Linked DNA regions of Arabidopsis thaliana. The protein of the gene in region 2 interacts with the protein of the main gene of each other region in a pairwise test. Each region holds a gene or a part of one and is shown on either strand. Other genes may lie near its edges.

Evidence for each region.
Region 1: the proteins of MEF9 (region 2) and MORF1 interact in a two-hybrid assay, tested with the Arabidopsis thaliana proteins (one study listed by BioGRID).

The regions. Positions count from the first base shown.
Region 1 is NC_003075.7:10,842,654-10,849,725, reverse strand, and holds MORF1 (multiple organellar RNA editing factor), read left to right. Parts: upstream 1-3,578; 5' UTR 3,579-3,640; coding exon 3,641-4,008; intron 4,009-4,226; coding exon 4,227-4,324; intron 4,325-4,413; coding exon 4,414-4,479; intron 4,480-4,565; coding exon 4,566-5,293; 3' UTR 5,294-5,324; downstream 5,325-7,072. Other genes in the region: AT4G20040 (Pectin lyase-like superfamily protein), read left to right, coding at 763-954, 1,037-1,264, 1,347-2,378; AT4G20030 (RNA-binding (RRM/RBD/RNP motifs) family protein), read right to left, coding at 2,480-2,626, 2,706-2,812, 2,903-2,971, 3,229-3,364; PTAC9 (plastid transcriptionally active 9), read right to left, coding at 5,737-5,865, 5,952-6,016, 6,135-6,282, 6,397-6,502, 6,695-6,807, 6,950-7,072. UniProt on the Arabidopsis thaliana protein: Involved in organellar RNA editing. Required for the processing of numerous RNA editing sites in mitochondria. Binds to the mitochondrial MEF19 and MEF21 factors, two pentatricopeptide repeat-containing proteins involved in RNA editing.
Region 2 is NC_003070.9:22,996,240-23,003,975, reverse strand, and holds MEF9 (mitochondrial editing factor 9), read left to right. Parts: upstream 1-4,146; 5' UTR 4,147-4,179; coding exon 4,180-6,150; 3' UTR 6,151-6,221; downstream 6,222-7,736. Other genes in the region: SLAH4 (SLAC1 homologue 4), read left to right, coding at 2,485-3,312, 3,389-3,658; AT1G62250 (orotidine 5'-phosphate decarboxylase), read left to right, coding at 6,973-7,182, 7,279-7,404, 7,494-7,652.

The DNA of each region.
Region 1 (7,072 bases), on a different chromosome or scaffold from region 2:
AAGAAATTCAATGCAATGACTAATCTGAAATTACACTAGAATCAAATAAAGCTTTACCTAATGTAATTAAATTTCTACAGAGTTGGTGGCTTATGAAAGATAATCTAAGGAGATTTTGATGCTCTGTATTTTCAAATTTTAGATGTTGGCCATAAAGTAAAATTTATTTATACTTCCACACTCAATCCCCATTTTCAGTATTACTTCAAGTCTTCGACATACTTTATTCTGTAAGTTTTTTTTTTGGCATCAAAAAGTGTGAAAATAAAAGTATCATTTTCTTATTGAATGATGAATACTTATGAAAAAGAAAAGCAAACTTTATGACGAATAAAGCCTGAAGATGTGTTGTAAACAAAGTCTAAAACGAATGATTTTATTTTCTCGTCAAGTAATCATTTTATTTTTATTGATGATTTTTCATACTTCACATAATACTTTTGATATTAGGCCAGTTAGGAATAAATTTTCAAATACTTTGATCTTTCTTTGTTGAACTTGAGCGGTTCGTACGAACATGCTTTGATCTTTTTGCATTTTCTTATGAATAAAGCAAAAACTTCTAAAGTGTTTCTATTTAATAGATTGGAACTCGAGTCGGTGTACATTGAAAAAATAAACCAAAATTTAATAACAGAGATTATTTGCCTTTTAATACATATACACACACGCACATATCTACCTGCATCTTCTTCATAATCATTCCTAAGAAATTCTCTCTCTCACACACTCAAGAACAAGACAAGAGTCAAGAAAAATCAGATGAGTCTCTATAGCTTCATTAGCTTGTTGTTACTGTTTCTCATCACGATTTCAATGGAGTTTAAAGAGACATCATCCTTAAGAAGAGACATGACCAAGCTTTTAAAGCTCCAAGAGAAGATTCAAGAAAGACTCGCAGTCACTCCCACTCTCTCACCAGTGTCTTCTCCTTCTTCTCACTCTCCCAAAATGGTAAAGTCCTCTTGTTCAGTTTCTAATGTATTACAGGCACGTGTGTGTGATTTGTGAGCGTGTGTGAGTTTGGTTTGTGCAGGTTGGGAAGGTGATATACCCGATTGGTTACGGAGCTGACCCTACAGGTGGACAAGACAGTAGTGACGCAATACTTGAAGCTTTAACTGATGCTTTTCAGTTACAAACTGGACTTGAGATGCTGCCACGTGTCGCTGATTTAGGTGGTCTAGTTATTGATCTCCAAGGTGGCAGTTACATGATCGGAAAACCTCTCAGGTTCCCTTCCTCCGGTGGCGGAAATCTTGTGGTTAGTCCCTCATTTTAAAATTTGACTTAAGAAACTTATGAAAAGGTTTGAGTCTTTTAAGACATTGTTCGGTGTAATTCAGGTGAAAGGTGGGACTTTCCGGGCATCAGAACTGTTTCCTGGTGATAGGCATTTAGTTGAGCTTGTAGCATCAAACGCTAAGAAACCAATGAAAATGTCGCCAGAGGAGTCTTTCTCCGATCAGAAAGACCAGAGCTCTGGGATCTTCTATGAGGATGTGACCTTCCAAGATGTTCTCTTCGACTCAAGATTCCGAGGAGGTGGTATTTTGGTGATTGACTCAGCTCGTATCCGTATAACCAATTGTTATTTCCTCCATTTCACAACGCAAGGGATTAAAGTCCAAGGAGGTCATGAGACATACATTTCAAACTCCTTCTTGGGGCAACATTCAACGGTAGGAGGAGACAGAGAAGAAAGAGGATTTACTGGGACAGGAATCGATATCTCGAGTAACGACAATGCCATTACGGATGTAGTGATTTTCTCGGCTGGTATCGGTATCTCTTTGAATGGTGGTGCAAATATGGTTACGGGTGTGCATTGCTACAATAAAGCTACATGGTTTGGTGGCATTGGCATTCTAGTGAAATCACATTTAACGAGGATAGATAATTGTTACCTTGATTACACAGGTATAGTCATAGAAGACCCTGTCCATGTTCATGTCACCAATGCTTTGTTCTTAGGAGATGCAAACATCGTCTTGAGATCGGTACACGGGAAGATTTCCGGTGTAAACATCGTCAACAACATGTTTAGCGGTACCGCCAAAAACAACTTCCCGATTGTCAAGCTAGAAGGAGAGTTTCATGATATTAATCAAGTTGTGATTGATCAAAACAATGCAGAAGGGATGATGCTGAAATCAACAACCGGAAAGGCCATGGTTTCCGCAAATGGAACACGATGGATCGCTGATTTTTCCCCTGTTTTGGTATTCCCTAACCGGATAAACCATTACCAGCATTCGTTTTTCGCTCAATCCGGACAGATCCCTGCAAATGCAGTGACCAATGTCTCCAACAATATGGTGGTTGTAGAAACCGATAGAGCTGTAACTGGAACCGTGTCAATAATTGCTTATCAGTAAAACAACATTCTTCACATTGATCATATTCCTAATAAGAAAGCATGATTTGACATCTGATTTATACAAGTTCAGTTACAGTTTGGTGAGCTTGATACTAACAACTAATACCAGCAATCAGCAACCTCATCATTAGCGGCTTCTTCTGGCTCATCCGACTTCTCAGGTGGACCAGAAGTCCTAGGCAGTCCTTGGAAATCACGTTTACCTGGTTTCGCAATGTCTATATAAATCATTCTGCCATTGTACATCTGCAACAGAGGAATGGGAAACATTTAGGTTGATTTCAAGACATAAAAATGTAAACTTGTGATTGAAAGAAGCTTTTACCCGACGGTCCATGGTCTCTATGGCAAGAAAAGCATCATCTTGAGACGTGAATTGAATAAAAGCATAACCTTTTGATCTCTTCATTGCCTCATCTTTGATAAGCTTAACTGTTTTGAAGTATAAGAGTGAACATATCAATGCCATAAAACTGAACCTTAAAGCAACAAAACAGAGTAAAATTGAAACCGCAAACATACCTTCAGCTATCTCTCCAAAAGCTGAAAACTCTCTCTTTAGAAAATCTTCACTTGTAGAAAACGGTAAATCTACAAATTCAAAGTGAAGAAACATCAGAACCGTAGAGTAATTACCAAGTTGAAGTTACAACCAACTTCAACTTCACTAATGATTGCTACAAGAGCTTAGAGCTATCACATATGACTACCGTCACAATCCTGACTCAAATCAACTAATTTCAATCAAACCAGAATCATAAATTACTTTTGGAACAATAACAGAACCATGTCCTAATCTCAGCTAGAAGCGAATTCAAATATAAACCAAAAGATAATCTGAATCTTACTTCTGACCATGATTTTGCTCGCTAGAGGGTAATTAAAGAGCGAAGCTTTAATCTTTGGAAACCTAAGGTTCCTGTAATTAGGTAGAGAAGATGAAGAAGCCACAAAAGAAGGGAAAGATAACGTCGCCGACCACATAATTCACAGTCGCCGGAAATAGAGAGGGAGAAGAAGAAGAAACAAACAGAGAGTTATAAAACGACAGCGGTATAGTAAAAAGCTAAGGCCTAAGTTTTTTGGCCCAGTGATAAATTTGAAACTTTAGGCGGAAACTAAAAACATTTGAAACAATAAGGACTTAAAAAGTAATTTACTATTTATTTAGATATTGTAAAACCCACACAAAAACCCTAATTTCATTTCTCCAAAGCTTTCCAGAATACTCTCCACTCCTTCATAATTTCTCTGGCAACGATGGCTATGATATCTCACCGTCTCCGACGAGCTTTACTCACTGCGACTTCCTATGTTAACCGATCAATTAGCTCTTCGATCACACCAGCGTCTGATTTCCCTTCTGTGTCGGCGGCGGTGTTAAAGAGATCCGTTATAGGGCGTTCGACGGAAGTAGCTACTCGAGCACCGGCGAGACTGTTTTCAACGAGGCAGTACAAGCTTTACAAAGAAGGTGATGAGATCACGGAAGACACTGTGTTGTTCGAAGGATGTGATTATAATCACTGGCTTATCACTATGGATTTCTCCAAAGAGGAAACTCCTAAGTCTCCAGAAGAAATGGTCGCTGCTTATGAAGAAACTTGCGCCCAAGGACTTGGCATCAGGTTAGTAGATGAATTTTTGTCACTGCTTAGATTCGTTGCTTTTGGCTAAATTGTCCAAAAATCATTCAGTAAGTTACTTAAATGTGAGAACTTTACCATTGCTAGGGTTCCATTCACTGTTATATAGCTCTGCTTTGATTTTTGTGTATCTTCTTCTGGTATTGATATTGGTTAAGACGATTATATTGATTCATTTTTGGTGTTTATGGTTGAGTCAGCGTGGAAGAGGCTAAGCAAAGGATGTATGCTTGTAGCACAACTACTTACCAAGGATTTCAAGCAATCATGACTGAACAAGAATCAGAAAAGTTCAAGGGTATATAGTTCGAATCATTTATGTTTGTTTTCTTTTGAATTCAACTTTTTTCACCAGATATTGACTCTGTTATTGGTATATGTAAACAGATCTACCCGGAGTGGTTTTCATCTTGCCAGATTCCTACATTGATCCCCAGAACAAAGAGTATGGAGGTGAGCTGGTTTTTTTTACAAACTGGTCTTATTTTGGATATTTGTTGTTGGGACTCTATCAACAAAATTATGTTTCTTGTTTTCAGGAGATAAATACGAGAATGGAGTGATAACACACAGGCCACCACCGATTCAGAGTGGCAGAGCAAGACCTCGTCCTAGATTTGACCGTTCAGGAGGAGGAAGTGGTGGTCCCCAAAACTTCCAAAGAAACACACAGTATGGTCAGCAACCACCAATGCAAGGTGGTGGAGGGAGCTATGGTCCTCAACAGGGCTATGCCACTCCAGGACAAGGTCAGGGAACTCAAGCGCCTCCACCATTTCAAGGAGGTTATAACCAAGGCCCGAGATCTCCACCACCTCCATATCAGGCAGGTTACAATCAAGGCCAGGGATCTCCAGTGCCTCCATATCAGGCAGGTTACAATCAAGTCCAGGGATCTCCAGTGCCTCCATACCAAGGAACACAAAGCAGTTACGGTCAAGGTGGATCTGGGAACTATAGTCAAGGGCCACAAGGTGGTTACAACCAAGGAGGACCTAGGAATTACAATCCACAGGGAGCTGGAAACTTTGGTCCTGCATCTGGAGCTGGAAACTTAGGTCCTGCACCTGGAGCTGGAAATCCTGGCTATGGTCAGGGGTATTCTGGACCAGGACAAGAGCAGAATCAGACATTCCCACAGGCAGATCAGAGGAATCGAGACTGGAACAACAATAATCCAGCAGGCCAGCCCGGGTCTGACCAAGTAAGATCTCGATCAATAATGAATCTTGCATCTTTCTTTTTTGATATCCTCATCAGGCATTAAAGTACCCCATTTTCCCCATATTTGTTACTGAGATGGTCCTGTGTTTCAGTTTCCACAGGGAAGAAGGTACTAGACAGAGAGCATGCTGCAGTGAATTGAGCTGAATAAGGAGAGAAGTGTCAAAGGCCTTTTATTAAGTTTTACAGTAAATAGTATTTAGTCATCTTTCTACTTTGTAAGACAATAGTTAGTCCTTTTTTCTCTTAAGTTGAGCTTGTTAACGTTGTTGGTTGCGCTTGTGAAATTGAAACACTCTTTCTAGAAGTTCTTTTAAGACCTAATATGCTTGCTTTACCTGAGACATTTGGAATCGTCCACACTTGTAGCTACTGTATTCAGTCTACTAACCAAAAATCAAACGGAACTTTGAAGACCACTTTGAATAGAAATGATGAATTTTGTAAACACTTGGAGCTCTTTACATGGAGATAATGTTTCTAAAGCTAAAAGACAATACTTTCTTGTTTCTTCTTGACTGGTGGCAGTTTCGGTAATACCCAAGTAGGAGACTCGTTTAGCCACAGTGCTTCACCTGTCTCCTTGTGCTTGAAATCAGGGGCTTTTGCATTTCTCTTCAAAACAAAAACGATATTGGGACAATAGGTCAGTTTCTTGGAAAGATTGATGAAAAACCGAGCAAAAGATATTGGTATCCTACCTTGTCGATTCTATTGTCCCACCATTTATCTGGGTTCTGAACCAAGTCCTTCCATGATTCTTCTCCTACACATATCAGCCCAGATTTCAGTTTATACAAACATACTTGAACAAGTGCCACATAACTGTAAACAACTTTCTTTGTATAGTTGCATAGGAACATGGAAATGACTGGGAACTTTACCTTTAAGTTGTTTTACAACTCTGGCTTTAGGGACTAGAACATCGAACTCGAGTCCTTCGAGTTTTGGCAAAACCCAATTAGGAGCCTTATTGAGCCACAGCGAAAAACTACTGTCCTTGCTTTTGAAATCAGGATGCCTAGGTTTTACCTATGTAGGAGAAAAACCAAGAAGTCAGAAAACTAGTAGAGAGATTTAGCAGACACCATATCAAAAGATTGCGAGTGAGATAAGGATGAATAGTTAAGCACATGGGGCATTTACCAATCCATTGACTTTATTTTCCCGGTGATCCCACCATTCTTTAGGATTTTCAATGAGGTGATTCCAAGAATCTGAAGCTTCATCAATGACTATATCCTGCTTAGCTCTAGCTAGAGACTCATTTAACAAACCATTAATCAGAGCATTGAAAACAAATGTATGCCAGAAAGATTTCACAAGAAAACACATTTTTCATTAAATACATCACAAGAGATTAAAAAGTAGCTCCCTAAGAGCCTTTCTCAGACCTAACACAAGCGCCAATTGAAAATTGTTCATTGGAAATGTTACATGAGACATACCAGGCTGCTTCTTGATACCACTTTCTTCCTTTTCAGATGATGACATAACCATAAATGGCGACGGAGACGGGGACATAGGCTGTATAAAGTTAAGATTCTGGACCAATACCTGTTGTAAAGCAAGTAGCAACCACCTAAAGTTACAAAGGTTCTCTGGAACTTTTCATACATACTCGAGGGATAATCAAATCAACATAGTACTCTTCTCACAAGTATCATAAAACTGATCAAATACTATTTAAAGCTCACACCTGAACATTGGCTTGTGCATAAGTCATATTTGGAGGAGGAGAATCTATAAACAGCTTCCCAGACACATGAATTTGATCGTCTTTGCTTACATATCGAGCTGCGGTTTTAGCTAAATCGCCTTC
Region 2 (7,736 bases):
TACTAGCCTTAGATCTAAAACCTCACATTACGATGGTCAACACTTTGACAAAAGTCGTCTGGTCATGATAAATTTAAATCCTCGGATACAATGGAGAACACTTCAACAAGAGTCTTGTCAGGGAAATTACAATGGACAATAAAAACGTATATCAAAACAAATATAGAGAACCAGCCAAGGAAGAAGAAGAGATTAGGAATTAGACAAATTAATCCCATTACTATCCCTAAGCCAACAATGAACCAAAAATGTTTCATCACCATTTCAAATTTATGGTCAGGCGTTGGATAAAAAAGATGGGAAATTGCAATGAGGCCAATGATGGACGACATGGTAAAGAAGAAAACCTCCACAACTTTTCCCAACCCGAGTGTCATAACACAGATAAACACCACAAATGCCAGTTCCGACCACGCTCTTTCAGCAGGACTACACTCTTCTGGAGGAGGACTAGAGGAGGATGGCATCCAACCCCACATCTCCTCTACTTTGATCGATGCACCGAACACTGCATACTGTATTATAAGATACTTAGCAGTGAATATTATTGCATATTCAGTTGAGTCTTCCATATTGTTGGGTTTTCCTCTCTTGCAAAATACCAACAGAGATATTGCCATAACCGCTATGGATAAAAACAATGTTATTTTCCAAAATTTTCTACGTTCGTTACACCAATCCACTTTTGCCATCACCACTCCACCGGCCTCCATTTTTTCCAATGCATCATTTGTCATCGTTTATCCTTTTCACTAGCAAGACTCGGTACTCTCTCTTCTTTTTAGCTTTATATTAGATACCTTTGGAAGTAAACCAAACAAAAAAAATCCACATAAAGATTGCTTTTGACTATGTAAGGAAAAAAAAGAAGAATATATTTTAGATATTTTGTTGTTCGTTTGTTTGGATATTGTTAAACTAATCATGAATGCGTATAAAACTGATCCCGACTTAAAATGACATTATTAAGTTATTTTTTCCACAAAAGTCTCACCGAAACCAAATGCTACAGTAATCGAATTACGGAATTAGTTTTAAAATTGCCGTTTAAAGTTTTTTACGAGTATTAATTTATAATATTTCTTAAGAATGTGATAAATTCACCCAATTTTTTCTAAAATATTGGCAAAATAATCTTCAAAATAAAAAATAGTCCATAATTATTAGACCTTACAACAAATCCATTAGACCATTTTCAATGGTTGTCTCTATTTGTTAGGAAAAAAAATTAAAATCTCTATTTTAGAGATAAATAAAGACAAAAATAGAGTATAGAAATAATAATAAAGATGGGTTGGAGATGTTTTAAGCGGCTTTTTTGTAGCTTGCAGGTTCCAATCTAAGTGAGAACGACTTTTTTTTGTTGGGTAAAAAAAAATTAAAAAAATTGTTTTCACTTGATTGAGACCTGTGAAGCTTAGGATTTTGATTGGTAGCACATTTCCAAATTTGAATTGTTTTGTTGGAGACCAATAAGAAAGAAACGAATCTGTTGAAAGTTGAAACATACAAATTTAATAGATATATAATTGAAATATTTGTTTACAACTTGTTTGACAAATATAGATTGTTTACCATCGTTCATTTACCAAATGGATATTTTGAGGAAAATATCTTTCTTTTGGGAATCATCTTACTAAAATAAAAAAAAATCTAATCGTATGTCTTTGCTTATAATTTCTTTTTCATCTTTTTGTCAACCAACGACATTAAACTTGTTTTTAAGGTTAATTATAAAGATTTTCTAAATATAACAATTGTATATAGTATACAATTGTATGTAAAAAAAAACAATTGTATAGCCGTCGTGACGTAGTAAAAAGGGATATTAGGATCACATAAATTCTTTATATAAGGAATCTTTACGTAAGGCAACATTATTATCTCCTCTCCCTTATTGAGAAGGGCTCATGGTCAACGTTGGTTATAGTCTTATAGATGAAATGGGGATCTAAGACGACAACCCAGAATCCGAAGACAGTTCAGGAATCTAGGCGACATTAGTATACCACAATCTGTGTGCAGACACTGGCGAAGCACAGACAGTTGAAGTATTAAAACAATTTTTAAATCGTTTCGCTGCAAATTATCCAGGTTTATTTAAATTATATAAGCTATATTTCATTTAGTACTTTGTATGAATTATAAGGAACTAATACTTAAAGTTATAAATCAGCTGAAAGAATTTATGATGATATAAGCAATTGAAATGGTTTGATGTTTATTCATGAAGCTTGAAGAAGAATTTTCGCTTCATCAAAAGAAAAAAAAAGTGTTGATGTCGAAAGAAAAAAGAAAAAGATGTTGATATGTATATATGTACTGTACAAGTTATTGAACTTACCAAAAGTTTCTGAATGTCCAACACTAACTTGTGTTTTGTACTTTTGATTTCTCTGCCTTATGCTTATGTACATGAATTCTTTTTTTTATAGGTTAGCACAACATAGAGCAAAATAAGCTCTATTTCATCGATATACCGAGATGGAAATACCTAGTCAAGAAATTCACATCATGATTGATAACACAATATCGAGGCGCAAAGAGAGAAAGACTAACCTCGCAGATGCCGAACCCATTGTCCTGATGTCTGTTTTGAGTAGTCTCCATGCGGGATATTTCAGAATAAGCCTTTCTCTATGTAGCCAAGCATTGTTGTGGAAGATTATGGTGCATTTGCATAGCGAACTCCCGTCTATGGCGTATTATCTCCTGTGGTACCTAGCACTTGCAACACAAGTATCACTCTGTTTTTTGTATGCCTTCAAGTGTATTTTTCTCTTTGACATGGTGAAGGAAGAGTTCTCGCACTATATTGGAGTGAACTATCTTTACGCTCCATCCATTTCATGTCTTCTATTGCTTCAATCAGCTCCTATGATAGAACCACACAGCGTTTTATATCAGACACTATTCTGGATCTTTGCTGTTCCAGTCTTGACTTTAGACACAAAGCTTTATGGTCAATGGTTCACAACAGAGAAAAGGTTTTTATCGATAATGGCAAACCCGGCAAGCCAAGTATCGGTAATCGCAAACCTAGTGGCTGCGCGGGGAGCAGCAGAGATGGGTTGGAAAGAGTGTGCTCTATGCTTATTCTCACTTGGAATGGTTCACTATTTGGTCATCTTTGTTACACTTTATCAACGCTTACCAGGCGGAAACAATTTCCCAACCACGCTAAGACCGGTTTTCTTCTTGTTTTTCGCTGCACCCGCCACAGCAAGTCTAGCTTGGAACTCTATTTGTGGAAACTTTGATACTATAGCCAAGATGTTATTCTTCCTTTCACTCTTCATCTTCATATCTCTGGTAAGTTTACATCTTTACGATACACCAAGAAACCGAAAACCGACATTTTTACATTCTTTTTCTTATACATTTTCAGGTTTGTAGGCCAAATCTTTTGAAGAAGTCGATAAAAAGATTCAATGTCGCATGGTGGGCTTACTCGTTTCCTATCACATTTCTCGCTTTAAACTCGGTTCAGTACGCGCAAGAGGTGAAAGACCATGTCGCTTCGGTCTTGATGTTTATCTTCTCATCCATGTCAGTTTTGATATTCATCAGTGTGATGTTACTGACAGCAGCAAATAGCAAAAGATTACTTAGACGTGATCATGTCCTCTGGTCTTCTACTGGTCCAAAAGACAAATAAACATCGTGTATGGCGAAACTTGTAAACCAAAGCTAATTACCCATAAAATAATGTATGTAAAAGTAGTTACAAAACTAGCTGGATAAAAAATTTCAGTTGGAAGATCAACCAACTACAGACTACTATGTAATACAATTTGTAGAAATTTCTACTCTAATTACTATCTGACCTGATATCAAACCCGGTTCAAATACTATAAAACCGGAAATGCTGAATTGAACCGAGTTATTACCGGTTTAAACACAGTAAAATCAAAATTCACCTGACTGTGAGAATCAACTGATCAATTCCATTCCACTGACTGATTCTTCCAAATCTCAGGAGTCAGGCCTCAGAGGCTAATTTGGTTTACAATAGACACATTTTACTATCTGAATTGAACCAAATGATTTCCGGTTCAAACATGGTAAACCGAAGAATGTCCATTACATCATCATCTGAACCAAATTTACCTGACTCTAATTTTCAAAGCTAGAGGCTTTTTTAGTTTTTGATCGCTGCAAATTTCGCCGGCGACGACGATGATCCGATCACGAAGTGTCTTGTTAATTTTCAGGAAGGTGTTGTATCAATCGTCTTGTCTTAAGTGTTTATTATGTGCAAACTCTTTCTCTACTTCAGTTTCGTCAAGCTTGGGTTTTCGAGCGACGAACAAAGAGTTAAACCAGATGATAAGATCGGGGTATATCGCCGAAGCTAGAGATATTTTTGAGAAACTGGAAGCGAGGAACACAGTGACATGGAATACGATGATAAGCGGGTATGTGAAAAGGCGTGAAATGAATCAAGCACGGAAACTGTTCGACGTAATGCCTAAGAGAGATGTTGTGACTTGGAACACGATGATTTCGGGGTATGTTTCATGTGGTGGGATTAGGTTTCTTGAGGAAGCAAGGAAGCTGTTTGATGAAATGCCTTCAAGGGATTCTTTTTCATGGAACACTATGATTAGTGGTTATGCGAAGAATCGGAGGATAGGTGAAGCGTTGTTGTTATTTGAGAAAATGCCTGAGAGAAATGCAGTGTCATGGAGTGCTATGATCACTGGGTTTTGTCAGAACGGTGAAGTGGATAGCGCGGTTGTGTTGTTTCGGAAAATGCCTGTGAAGGATTCGTCTCCTCTATGTGCACTTGTGGCTGGTCTTATTAAAAACGAGAGACTTTCAGAAGCTGCGTGGGTTTTGGGTCAGTATGGGAGTTTAGTTTCAGGAAGGGAAGATTTGGTGTATGCTTATAACACTTTGATTGTTGGATATGGACAGAGAGGACAAGTAGAAGCAGCTCGATGTCTGTTTGATCAGATTCCTGATCTCTGTGGTGATGATCATGGTGGAGAGTTTAGAGAGAGGTTCTGTAAAAATGTTGTGTCATGGAATTCTATGATCAAAGCTTACTTGAAAGTGGGTGATGTGGTCTCTGCAAGGTTGCTATTTGATCAGATGAAAGACCGCGATACAATTTCTTGGAACACAATGATTGATGGATACGTACATGTTTCCAGGATGGAAGATGCTTTTGCTCTGTTTTCGGAAATGCCGAACCGTGATGCACATTCGTGGAACATGATGGTCTCGGGTTATGCTAGTGTTGGCAATGTAGAGCTTGCTCGCCACTACTTTGAAAAAACACCTGAGAAACATACAGTCTCGTGGAACTCGATAATAGCAGCTTATGAGAAAAACAAGGACTACAAAGAAGCTGTTGATTTGTTTATCCGGATGAACATTGAAGGAGAGAAGCCTGACCCACATACTTTAACTTCTCTTCTCAGTGCATCTACCGGGCTTGTGAATCTGCGTTTAGGAATGCAGATGCACCAAATCGTTGTCAAGACTGTGATCCCCGATGTTCCAGTCCACAATGCCCTTATCACTATGTATTCAAGATGCGGTGAAATAATGGAGTCGAGGAGAATCTTCGATGAAATGAAACTCAAAAGAGAAGTAATCACATGGAATGCAATGATAGGAGGATATGCATTTCATGGTAATGCCTCAGAGGCCTTGAATCTGTTCGGGTCGATGAAAAGCAACGGGATATATCCTTCTCACATAACATTCGTCTCAGTTCTGAACGCTTGTGCTCACGCGGGACTTGTTGATGAGGCTAAAGCACAGTTTGTGTCCATGATGAGTGTGTACAAGATCGAGCCGCAGATGGAACATTATTCTTCCCTGGTCAACGTTACCAGTGGACAAGGGCAGTTTGAAGAGGCCATGTATATCATAACGAGTATGCCTTTTGAGCCAGACAAAACGGTATGGGGTGCATTATTGGATGCTTGTAGGATATATAACAATGTAGGGCTTGCACATGTTGCAGCTGAAGCAATGTCGAGACTCGAACCAGAGAGCTCAACACCTTATGTACTGTTATATAACATGTATGCGGATATGGGACTATGGGACGAAGCTTCTCAAGTGAGAATGAACATGGAGAGTAAAAGAATCAAGAAGGAAAGAGGATCCAGTTGGGTTGACTCCTCAACGTAAAAAGCAGCCTTTATTTATGTTTACTTAAACATAAAAATTGATTTGGGATCAGAATTGAGATAGAAATTGATAAGGTACTCTTGAAAGTTCTCTCTTTTCTCAATTCTCTTCATCATATTTGGACTCATATTCCAACGACATCGTTTTGGGAATCCCCATGATTCTTGTTTGCTTCTATCTGTTTTTCTTTTCCAGTGCCCAAAAATAAAATAAAAAGAATCTTTGTCTACATTGATTGAAAATTTGATGTTTTTCTTTTTGCAGCCATTCAAAATATTGGTGGCTTCAAATTCACCTCTTACACTTGTAGCTTGTGCTTCATCCAATTCTTTGCAGCGATTAAAACACACAAAAAGTTTGCATATGAATTGCTGACTCTGAATTTCTCAAAAAGGTAAGCCTTTTTTTGTTCATATCTTGCTTTTTAATCTCAGATGTATTTAAATGATCGTAAGTATCTGTGAATTGGTCCAGTATGATTAAGAGATTCTTGACACTTTCCAAAGATCAGAGGTTTTGATTTTCTTCTTGAGCTAATACAAATTTTCTGATCGCAATATTAGCTAATCTCCAAATCCAAATCATTTGAATTTGTTTTCTTTTTTGCCACTTATGGATATCTCTAAGGACTAAGAATGAATTGAGAGATGAAATTAGGGTTTCAACTTTCAATTTGAACAGGGAAGCTGATTTTTTTTTTCTAGAACATCAATGTATCTTAGACTCTTACACATCTTAATTCCTAATATAGTTGTGTTATTCAAAGAAAAAAGCTTCTCTCTTATGCAGATAAGGGCATTGCTTCATTGATATGGTTAAGAAATGTTAGTTGCGTATCCTGCGGGAACTATCAACAAATTCCAAATCCCTATTAGCTGCTATGCCGCTTTGCGCAGATTCAAGACCTCGCCTTTTGGTCCTCTGATTAGTTGTTCTGTCTCCCCAAGATCAATAGTTCCTTGTAGCAATGTAGAGTGTTATCATTCATCTTTTTCTACAAAATATCAAATTCAGCCTCGAAGGAGATGGATGGTTAGTAATTAAAGTTTTCGTCTCTTCGGCAAGTTATACATCCATCTGTATACTGCTCCTAAGTTTTTTTGTGTTTGTTCTTTTGATTTCATCAAGTTTTGTAACTCACGCAACAACTCGATTTCATCGGATGATGAGTACCGTTCATCACCCAACATAGCTATAAGTCTTTTAAGACGTTACAGGACCGTGATTGGACGCGGTGAAGGCGAAACCTTAAAAGTAACTTCCTTTTTTTATTTGAGTCATTCTTGTTTTCTTCTCGATTGTATATCCATCTTTCATTAATTTGTTTGTGTGTGTATCTTCAGGAATTCATATCCGCTGGTGTGAATGCATATGCGCTCGGCTGCACAGATGAAGATTTGAGAAAAGAACTAATGGCTATGAAAGATTCGGGTTTAGAGATTGAGAGAATGGAGAATTACGGCGGAAGCACACAGACTAAATCCAAAATTACGCTGTCTGAGGTTAGTTAGTTACAACGAACTTGTGATATCATCGGTTAATATATGAGCTAAGTCGTATCAGATCAATTTTAACTGGCGGTTTTA